3 linked regions of the Oryctolagus cuniculus genome follow. The protein of the gene in region 1 purifies or fractionates together with the protein of each later gene. This does not show direct contact. Links are inferred from orthologs where the notes say so. Each region holds a gene or a part of one and is shown in the gene's direction. Other genes may lie near its edges.

Region 1 (3,648 bases):
CTGTCCCACGTGGGCGAAAGGCCTGAGGGGAGGCGGCCGTGGTAGAGGAAGAGGAGCTCCCTTAGATAGAGGGACAGGGTAGGCTGGAGCCCGGGGAAGGCCACTTCCATCTTCCCCAGCTGCCCACCCCAGGATCCGCCTCCCTCGCAGCCCAGCCGCACGGCTTCCCAGGGGCCCCGGGGGCTGGCACTGGGCTGGCGCTAAGGTGCTGCCCCTCCCAGGCGGAGTCTGACTCAGCGGTCCAGCCGGCCGGCGTGCAGTCCTCCTGAGTCACAGGTAGGCACTGGCCCCGCCTGCCATGGGAGGGGAGAGGACTGTGGTCCCAGCACTCAGCCACAGGCACGGGCTGAGCCTGGGGACCAGAGATGCAGGCAGAACCTCTAGCCCCTCGAGGCGCAGGGCGTGGCTGGGGACAGAGCTTTGAAAGCCTCCTTGCCCACTGCCCAGACCCCGTCTTGCGGAAATCCACTCTCCATTCCTGGATTTCCGTCTGTGTGCAAAAGCTGTTAGGGCCATGGCGCAGTGGTTAAACTACCACCTGCGATGCTTCTTCCACCGTATCCTATGTGCGCACCTGTTCAAGTCCCGGCTGCTCCACTTCTGATCCAGCTCCCTGCTAGTGCACCTGGGAAAGCAGTGGAAGATGGCCCAAGTCCTTGGGCCCCTGCACCCACGTGGGAGAAGGGCTGGAAGAAGCTCCTGGCTCCTGGCTTCCACCTGGCTTAGCCCTAGCTGGTGCAGCCATTTGGGGAGTGAACCAGTGGAAAGAAGACCTCTCTCTCTTTCTCTCTCACTCTCTCTCTCTCTCTCTCACTGTCAGTCTCTGTAACTCTGCCTTTCAACAAATAAATAAAAATCTTTAAACTAAGCTGTCCGGGGGCCTGCTCACCCAGTGCCCATGCAGAGGAGTGGGCTCAGGCCACGCGGGGCTGAGTGTCTCCGGCCCTGCCCAGGGCACCCCACCCCAGGCCACACAGGGCCAGTAAGAAGCCGAAACGAGAGGCAGTGTGGCAGATCAAGCCAGGCACCCAGGGGAGGTGGCGTGGGACGGGATCAGAGGCGGAGGTGGAGGGGTGCACAGAGAGCCATGAGCACCTGGGGCAGGGCCTGAGGCTCGTTTAACCCTTGCTCTCCCATATCTGCATTGGGCCTGCGCAAGTGACTGAAGGAGGGAACAAGCCACGTAGACTAACGTGATTCCGGGAGCGGGGACAGCGTGCACAAGGACTCAGAACTGGGAATCCAGGGGCCAGGGACAGGAGCTGGCAGCTCTGGGGGCTTGGTTCTGTGCCAGGCCCCTCTGGGCTGGGCTGGGCTGGGCTGCCGGCTTCCTGAAGCCACCCCCCTTCCTCCCCAGAGCTACAGCCCCACTGTGTTTGAGCGGTACACCGTGAACCTGCAGGTGAAAGGCAAACCTGTGCACCTCCAGATCTGGGACACCGCAGGTGGGTGCGGGGCAGGGACGGTGGGCTGGAGCGAGGGCTGGTGGGCTGGAGTGGGGCGCACAGGGACGGGTGGGCTGGAGCGGGGGCTGGAGCCAGGCGCAGGGATGGGTGGGCTGGAGCGGAGACGGGTGGGTGGGCTGGAGTGGGGGTGGGGACAGGTGGCTGGAGTGGGGGCGGGGACGGGTGGGCTGGAGGGGGGCGCGGGGTGGGTGGACTGAAGTGTGGGCTAGAGCGGGGCGCGCAGGGAGGGGTGGGCTGGAGCGGGGCACGGGGACGAGTGGGCTGGAGCAGGGCACTGGGGCGGATGGGTTGGAGCGGGGCGTGGGGACGGGTGGGCTGGAGCGGGGACGGGTGGGCTGGAGCGGGGCTCAGGGACAGGTGGGCTGGAGCGTGGGCTGGAGTGGGGCGCACAGGGACGGGTGGGCTGGAGTGGGGCACACAGGGACAGGTGGGCTGGAGCGGGGTGCGGGGACGGGTGGGTTGGAGCGGGGCGCGGGGACAGGTGGGCTGGTGTGGGGCGCGGGGACAGGTGGGCTGGAGTGGTGCGCAGGGACAGGTGGGCTGGAGCGGGGGTGGGTGGGCTGAAGCATGGGCTGGAGCGGGGCGTGGGGACGGGTGGGTTGGAGTGGGGTGTGGGGACAGGTGGGCTGGAAGGGCCCTGTGGAGCCCCACATACTCAGGTTGGAGCCCTACCCCCTACGTCTGAGCTGGGGGGCTGGCCAGGGACAGGTGTTGGCCAGAACCAGGGGTCCCTGGCCCTGAGCCCACCTGCCTCCCCGCTCCCAGGGCAGCCCACTGTGTCCAGGATTTGGGGGCGGGGGGGGGGCAGAACTCTTTGCTGTCAAAAGCCAAGTTACCCTGGCCTCCCAAGCACCCGACCCCAGCCTCAGCGTCGCTAAGGTCTGTCTGACCTCTGGCCTCCTGACCTTGCCCACACAAGGGCAAGCTCATCTCAGGGGGTCCCAGCAGGCCCCGGGGCAATGGGCCTCAGTTCCTCCAGGCCTGGCTGCTGCCTTGCCTGCTATGCCTTCCAGACCAGGGTCCTTGGCAAGCCGTCTTCCCAGCCCAGCCAGCGTGGTGCTGAGGGGCCAGCCCCTAAGGCAGGATTTGTGTCCTGCCTCTGGAGACCCCATCTGATACTGGGGACATCTGCAGGCAGTAAGGCCCCCCGTCTCTGCCCAGGGCAAGACGACTATGACCGCCTGCGGCCCCTGTTCTACCCCGACGCCAGCGTGCTGCTCCTCTGCTTTGACGTCACCAGCCCCAGCAGCTTTGACAACGTCTTTAACCGGGTAGGTACTGTGGGATCAGGCAGTGTGACCCCCACAGCCAGCCCTGAGCCAACTGTCGGGGGAAACTGAGGCCCGGGGGCTGGCAGCACCTTGCCTGGGGTCACAAAGGCACTGGGTGCTCCCTGCCTGCCCCTCCCCCGGCCCCTGAAGACTCCACTTCCACTGGGACTCTCCCTGGGATAGCAGGTGAGCCCAAGGCTGCAGCACCCCCCCCAGCCTGTGCCTCCCTGCCCCCCACCCCTGGCTCCCACACACCAGGAAGTCGGCTCCCAGCTGCTCTCGGCCCCCTGCCGGGATCAGTGCCGACTCTCACAGCCTCCCAGGGTGCCCCCGGTCATGTTGGGGTCCTAAGGCTGGGACAGGCGTCAAGGATGCCAACTCTGAGCTGTCCCAGTTCCCTCCACTCATGGCACAGCCCATGCCCCGCGGCCGCCAGGGCCCACTTCCACCTCCAGGCGTCCTGCAGAAAGCCCACGGGGAAGACGGAATTAGGACAGCCTGGCCTGGGGGCAGGACGATAGAAATCCACGTGGTTTTCTTCACAAGGTGCATTCTGCACACTGTTGGAATGCTGCCTCCTCTTGCTCACGTCAGTCACCTAAGCACCCGATGGGCACGTGTCCGCACGCTCTCTGGATTGAGCCCCTCGTCCAAAGACGCACATCGGTGAGGGCAGCGACACTGGGTCTTGAACCCAGACTGGCTGCCCCACACACTCATTCAGAGCTGTGTTGCAGCGTATATCCCTGTTTGTTTATTTGAGATGCAGAAAGAGCGAGAGGGGCAGATAGAGAGCCCCCATCTACTGGGCCAAATGCCCCCGGTTGCCTGGGGCTGAGTCAGGCGGAAGCCAGGAGCCAGGAACTCCATCCAGGTCTCCCACGCGGATGGCAGGGACCTACGCACTTGAG
Region 2 (3,648 bases), on another chromosome or scaffold:
GAATGCCGGCGCCACAGGCAGAGGATTAACCAAGTGAGCCATGGTGCTGGCCCAACCCATTGTTCTTAATCTGCTGTTATAATATTGCTGTGATGTTTGGATTGCTGATATATTTCTCTTCTTTATGTAATGAAAACCCAAGTTTTAGGCCTCCTTTTACATCTTTACTATCTATTATAATTTGCACATCCACGTATTCATGTCTAGAAAACAAATGACAAAGGTGTCTTTTCCATCTGGTTAGTGGAGGTGACACTTAATAGAACTCAGGTGCCAGTTCTTTGAGTTCACAGCTTTTGTATTGACATATGATTGCCTAAAAGGGGAAGAATAAGAGTGAGAAAGCATGGGGATTTGATTGCTTCTTTAACTGGCATGTAGTATACAAGACATTTTTGGCTTTTTAATCACTACAACTTTCCACATAAACATATTGGACAGATGAATTCCAGACATCTCCAGGGAGACTCAGTGACATACATAGAATTACTTTAGAAAATATCATTATGTGTTTTATATGTTGCTCTTTGTTAAATAACTGCTTATTGTTCCCAAATTTCTTCCAGATGTTTATGGGAGGTATATTTAATTAAGAAACAAAATTTCTGAGATATAGTCATTCAAATAAAAAATAAAGACAAATAACTGCACTTAAAAACATTAACATAATTAGGTAGAATCTCTGTGAACGTCTGGGTTTTTGGAAATTCATTGTAAGCTTTTTTGTTTTGCCATTAAACCTATGTTCCACAGACATGTTGATTTTGAATAAAGGCTCTTTTTTCCCTCTTTAGTTTGGTTTGCAAAGGATTCTAGGAGATGAAAGAAGTCTTTTACTATTGGCACGAGCAATTGACCCCAAACAACCTAACATGATGACTGAAATAGTAAAAATACTTTCTGCTATTTGCATTGTTGGAGAAGAGAACATGTAAGTATAGCTATATTGTTTTATTGACTGCAAGTAAAATGACATTTCAAAAGTCAGTAAGTACTTTTGTTGTCTTTCTTTCGATAAACTGCATGAAGAGTATTAGATTTTTGAAAAATTTGATTGATTTTTTATCTTGTCTATATTTTAGCATTTTGTTGATATTATGAAAACTAGGTTTAAACTGATAGAGTTCTAATGGGAAATTGTTCAAAATTGAATTCAAGAAGAATAGAATTTTATCTTGCTGAGGCTAAAGCAGTTATTAGAAAAGTAGATACAAAAATTACTTTCACACACACACACACACACACACTCATACACTCATACAGTCACTCATGAAATTCACCCTATTCTGAGTTTTTTAATTAATTTAATTCTTTAACTAATTGAATAGATTAGATGTTTTTATTTTGGGCTATTGCTTCACATTTTACATTCCATGTGGTAAATGAAAGGATGAAGTAATCATTTGTAGAGTGAAATAACTTGCTAAAAAGAAAGACCAAAGGGTTGTTGATAATTATTCAGTGTGCATATATGTACCAAATTCAGCAAGTTGTTGATGAAGATTCATTAGATCATATGTTCTTATGGAAAGAATATTGAATCAGAAGAACATTTAAGCTTTGCTGTCATTAGTAAGTCCAGTTTGTCAAAATGTTGTGATGAACAATGGAATGTCTGCTAAGAACATGAACTAGAATATGTCTTCTGAACACTTTGTATGACAGTAATAATTTAAATTTGAGTCAGAACAGGGCCATGTGAAGATCTAATGATATTTTAACATGTAAACTTTATTATCACTGTTAGAATAAAATGAATATTTTCTTAGAGCTAGTTAATGTCCTTGAAAACCAAAACACAAACATTAAACAAAGATATAATCTAGCATTAAATCTTATCTCAATGAGAACCAGTTGACATATAATGTGTGCAATTGTTGAGTTTCCTTAGGTTTTAGAGAATAGTCGGTTTATATATGAGTCAGAAATATTTTCTTAATTATGTTGTCAATTCTTAATTTATAAATACAACCTAGACTGTTATATTTGTTATATTTTAATTATAGCTTACATATCATTTGAAAGTAATAGCCTACTATTTAGAGGTTAATTGATTTTGACATTGGATGGAGATAGTTACCAGATCTTATTTTTTGGTAAATAAGATTCCTATGCTAAATAATTATTGTTACTTCTTTAGTTTTCTGGATTTTTCTTTTAGATTATGTTTTTTCTGTTCCATTATCAAAGACTGTTGTTTTTTAAGTTCTTTTTAAAATATTCACTCTTTCCAGTACTTTATTATGATATTATAGTCTGTTTACACTTTATTATTAAGTCTGTGTATACTTTTAAAATAATACAAAATAATTGTAAATGCTATATTTAATTGATTTTAATATATATTAACACATGAAATATCAAACCTCAACATTTCAGTTTCAGTGTGTCTCAATGACATATTCATTTTTTCTGAAATATTCTTTTTAAAATATCATGTAGAATGATTGCTTTCAGTATTTTTTAAGCTATCAATATTTAACTTGTAGAAATATATGGATGGCCATTCAATTATTGTTAATAACTGTTGCCTATATTCCCACTAAACTAGGGTCATTTTGCTTTTTACTTGTTAAACTACTTATTTGGGGAGGTGTTAAGCCTTTGCTGCGATGTACATTTCATACTTAAAAACTAATAAAAAAGAAAGAAAGGGAGAAGCAAGGAGGGTGGGAGGGAGAAAAAGGGAAGGAGGGAGGGAGTGAAGCAGGAAGGAATGTCATTATGTTCTTAGAATTGTATCTACAAAGCACATTGAATCCGTTAAAAAGTAATTAAAGATTAAAGTTCGAAAATTAAAAAAAAAATAGTGGATGGCAACATGATTCTTATATTGCAATGATGGTTTGGTTAGACAGAAGGAATAAATTTGAGAGATCTCATGTACCCTGTGGTGACTATAATTAGTAACAATGTAGTGTATACTTGAAGATAGCTAAGAGTAGATATTAAGTGCTTCAACTACAAAAGAAAGGTAAGTGTGTGAGGTAATTAATATATTAATTAGCTTCAATTAGCCATTCCACAATGTATACACATTTCAGAACATTATATTGGAACCATAAATATGTACACTTTTGTCAATTCAAAAGAAAGAATTTTAAAAATCGTGGTGGTTTGTGTAAGAATCAAGCATCATAAAGAAAAACAGGTAAGATCTATAGGAATAACTCATGAGCATAATGTGTGTATAGGATGCAGTTCTCATTTTTTTTCTTTTCTTTTTTTCCCCCTCTACAGTTTAGATAAACTTTTAGGGGCTATAACTACAGCAGCAGAAAGAAATAACAGGGAACGATTTTCACCAATTGTTGAAGGATTAGAAAATCATGAAGCCTTGCAATTACAGGTGAATTAGTTTTATCTTACATTGTTTCTAGATGTATATTTAGAGTACTCATTTTGTAAAACACCAACTCCATTTTAGCTGGCATTTAAATAGAATGGAATGTAAAAAAACATTCTTCCTGTTGTTTTGTTTGTGACAATAATAATTTGTTTTAAATTTGGGAAAATACTTCTGAATTATTTTAAATATAACAGTTATGACTATCATTTATATCTGAGTATAAATTCAGTAATTAATATAATAAATCAGGAAAATCGAAGCCTTAGCAGTAATCGTGGCAAAAGAACAAGCAGTTCTGG
Region 3 (3,648 bases), on another chromosome or scaffold:
GCCCTTTGCTCCTAGGCTGGCAGGCAGGTCACCTGAGGCCTATTTGTCCAGGAAGTAGACGGGAGCCTCCTGTGGACACACAGGCCCTCCCTCCTGCCACCCCTGGGGTCCCTCTGCCAGCCCTGGGCAGTGTGGGGGTGTCTGGCCAGTGCTGCTGTCAGTGGCAGGATCTAGTCACACATGATATTTACTGAGCACCCAGGGTGTGCCTGCCCCAGGGGTGTCTGTTGACATCAGTCAGGAGAGGCGCAGGGGGAGCCGCCTGGATCTTTCTGCCAGGGGTGAGAGCATTGTCTGAAGGGGGCCCACAGGGTCCCCCTGTCTGTCTGGCCTGGGCTCCAGGCCTAGCCCTGTGGTAGAGACCCGCCCAGGGGCCTGGGCGCCTGTTGGGCGGCCCCAGCTGCAGCCCCGCCCACGCACTCCTCCTCCTCCCCCCCTCCCTGGGCCCCAGGACATTCCATTCATTCCGGGCTCACTGTGGCTGGCGCGGCCCGCTGGGCGGGGCGTGGGTGAGTGGGGAAGGCTGGAAGGACAGGCTTGGTGGGGACTGATACTGCTGGGTGGACTGCGGGGGGGTGTGGGGAAAGTGGGGCCTTTGTGGGGGGGTAGCAGGAGGGCCTGTACCCATGGATACCCCAAGAGAGTCTTGCTGTTCTCGCGTCTCCCCATCTTCCTCCTCCCCCACCCCACCTGTGGGTGGGCTCCTGGACCCTGTGTCCCCAGGGTTTGTGTGAGGACTGAGCCCCGGTGCAGGTTCTGTGCAGAGGCCAGGTCACCTGGAGGGGTTGTCTGCGGGGAGCAGGGTGGCAGACCAGCTCGGCCTCCCCCCGCCGAGAAGGCTTTGTTGGGCACCTTTCCTCTGAGCTCAGAGCTGGGTGCAGCGTGCGGGAGGGGACAGCCACAGCCTGTAGGGCGACTTGGGTGCCTGAGCAATAAAGGAGCGACTGGGAGGAGTGACAGGGTCTGCGAGGAGCAGGCAGCCTGTTGCAGTGAACACAGCTTCACTCAAAGCCTGCACGGGGTTTCTGCGTCCTGGTCTGGAGCAGCCGACGCCTAGATCCTGGGACGGTGATCCAGGAGCGGGGGGAGGCTGTGATAACGAGAGAGGGTCTGGGGGCTGGGGTCCCCAGAGGGAGACAGAAGGGCTCTCCCTGCCAGCACAGAATGGCTCTCCCTGCCAGCTGCTCTTGGATTCCCTGAGGCAAGTGGGAAGGGAATGGCAGATCCTGCAGCCCACTAGCCCACTCGTCCCATTCGTGGTCTGAACTCCAGGGCATGCATGAGGGCTCTCCCTCCACGTCTGCTGGGTTTGGAGCTGTTCAAAGCTCCCTGGAAGTCCCTCCTGGGATCCTGTCTCTGTGCCCCCACATCTGAGGCTCTGCCCATGGCGCCGGGAGGGGGGTGAGGCAGGGCGAGGAGGGGTTGAGAAGACTTACTTTCTCCCCCGCTGGTTCTGCCATGGGAACAGGGGTCTGGAAGGGGGTCCGGGAGGCCTCCGGGGAGAGCTCTGCAGGTGGGGCGGGGCTGGGGCAGGTGACTCTGGGAACAGGGGAAAGTGCCTGTGTGTTGGCTGAGCTGGTCACAGCAGGCCTCGAGGACCAGCCTGTGCTCGGGGTCAGTACAGGACAGGTGTACAGCTCACCTGCTCGTGCCCCCAGGGCTTGTCCGTCGGCCTGGGCCTGTGCATGGGGGCAAGTTGTCTGGGGCCAAAGGCCCCCCGACCGACAGCCTGGAGCTTCTTGGAGAGTCACAGGGTGGGGAGCTGGGCTCCGCCCTGGCCTGTTGCCTTGGACCTGGAGGTGGAGAAGAGGCCTCGGCTTCCCAGGGCGTGGAGTAGCGGTGGCTCCACCCTGGTCACCAGGTAGACTGCGCGGTGAAGGGCTAGGAAGTGGGTTTCCTGGAGCTCTGAGGTGGAACAGGGGTGTGTGTGTGTGTGTGAAGGGTGCTGGGTTCCCCGGCTCAGTCTGGGATCACGGCCCGCTGGCCTGTGTTCACAGGCACCCTTTGGGCTAGGGCTCCCTTGACCCCTGCTTTTTTCCCACAGGCTGTCGGGGGCAATGGCACTGCAGCTCTGGGCCCTGACCCTCCTGGGCCTGGCGGGCATGGGGTCAAGCCTGCGGCCTGGCAGACTGGACTTCTTCCACAGTGACACAGAGCTGAACCACCTGGCCGTGGACCAGGCTTCCGGCGTGGTGTACGTGGGGGCCGTGAACGCGCTCTACCAGCTGAGTGCCGACCTGCAGCTGGAGCAGAAGGCAAACACAGGCCCGGCCCTGGACAACAAGAAGTGCACGCCGCCCATCGAGGCGAGCCAGTGCCATGAGGCCGTGCTGACCGACAACGTGAACCAGCTGCTGCTGCTCGACCCTCCTGGCAGGCGCCTGGTGGAGTGTGGCAGCCTCTTCAAGGGCATCTGTGCCCTGCGGGCCCTCAGCAACATCTCCACGCGCCTCTTCTATGAAGACAGCAGCGGCGAGAAGTCCTTTGTGGCCAGCAATGACGAGGGCGTGGCCACCGTGGGGCTGGTTAGCGCCACGGGCCCCGGCGGGGAGCGCGTGCTGTTTGTGGGCAAAGGCAACGGGCCGCACGACAATGGCATCATCGTGAGCACCCGCCTGCTGGACCGGGCCGAGGGCAGGGAGGCCTTCGAGGCCTACACGGACCACACCACCTACAAGGCCGGCTACCTGTCCACCAGCACACAGCAGTTCGTGGCGGCCTTCGAGGACGGCCCCTACGTCTTCTTCGTCTTCAACCAGCAGGACAAGCACCCAGCCCACAACCGCACGCTGCTGGCACGCATGTGCAGACAGGACCCGTTCTACTACTCCTACCTGGAGGTGGACCTGCAGTGCCACGACCCCAGCGACCCCCAGGCCCCCGCCTTTGGCACCTGTCTGGCGGCCTCCGTGGCCACGCCGGGTGCTGGCAGGGTGCTGTACGCTGTCTTCAGTCGGGATGGCCGAGGTGGCCACGGAGGGCCCGGGGCAGGCCTCTGCCTCTTCCCACTGGATGAGGTCCACACCAAGATGGAGGCCACCCGCAAGGCCTGCTACGCGGGCACACGGGAGGCGGGCCGCAGCGACCTGTTCTACAAGCCCTTCCATGGCGAGATCCAGTGCGGCAACCACGGGCTGGTACGTGGGTGTGTGCCCTGTGCTGGGCATGGGGGCACAGCTGTGTGTGTGTGAGTGTGTGTGTGTGCCCTGTGCTGGGCAGGGGGGCACAGCTGTGTGTGTGTGTGTGTGTGTGTGTGCCCTGTGCTGGGCATGGGGGCACAGCTGTGTGTGTGTGTGTGCCCTGTGCTGGGCAGGGGGGCACAGCTGTGTGTGTGTGTGTGTGTGTGTGTGCCCTGTGCTGGGCATGGGGGCACAGCTGTGTGCGTGTGTGTGTGCGTGTGTGTGCCCTGTGCTGGGCAGGGGGCACAGCTGTGTGTGTGTGTGTGTGTGTGTGCCCTGTGCTGGGCATGGGGGCACAGCTGTGTGTGTGTGTGTGTGTGTGTGTGCCCTGTGCTGGGCAGGGGGCACAGCTGTGTGTGTGTGTGTGTGTGTGTGTGCCCTGTGCTGGGCATGGGGGCACAGCTGTGTGTGTGTGTGTGTGTGTGTGTGCCCTGTGCTGGGCATGGGGGCACAGCTGTGTGTGAGTGTG

The links.
Region 2: the proteins of RHOD (region 1) and DIAPH2 purify together in Homo sapiens (co-immunoprecipitation; 3 studies listed by BioGRID and IntAct, with this or other methods). This does not show direct contact. The link is inferred for Oryctolagus cuniculus from reciprocal best matches to the Homo sapiens genes RHOD and DIAPH2.
Region 3: the proteins of RHOD (region 1) and PLXNB2 purify together in Homo sapiens (affinity purification with mass spectrometry; 3 studies listed by BioGRID and IntAct, counting the BioPlex papers as one, with this or other methods). This does not show direct contact. The link is inferred for Oryctolagus cuniculus from reciprocal best matches to the Homo sapiens genes RHOD and PLXNB2.

What each region holds. Positions count from the first base shown.
Region 1 is NC_091432.1:4,925,758-4,929,405, reverse strand, and holds part of RHOD (rho-related GTP-binding protein RhoD), read left to right. Parts: intron 1-1,357; coding exon 1,358-1,445; intron 1,446-2,627; coding exon 2,628-2,737; intron 2,738-3,648. UniProt on the Homo sapiens protein: Involved in endosome dynamics. May coordinate membrane transport with the function of the cytoskeleton. Involved in the internalization and trafficking of activated tyrosine kinase receptors such as PDGFRB.
Region 2 is NC_091453.1:95,819,691-95,823,338, reverse strand, and holds part of DIAPH2 (protein diaphanous homolog 2), read left to right. Parts: intron 1-794; coding exon 795-931; intron 932-3,240; coding exon 3,241-3,349; intron 3,350-3,648. UniProt on the Homo sapiens protein: Could be involved in oogenesis. Involved in the regulation of endosome dynamics.
Region 3 is NC_091442.1:123,237,053-123,240,700, reverse strand, and holds part of PLXNB2 (plexin-B2), read left to right. Parts: intron 1-2,044; 5' UTR 2,045-2,057; coding exon 2,058-3,137; intron 3,138-3,648.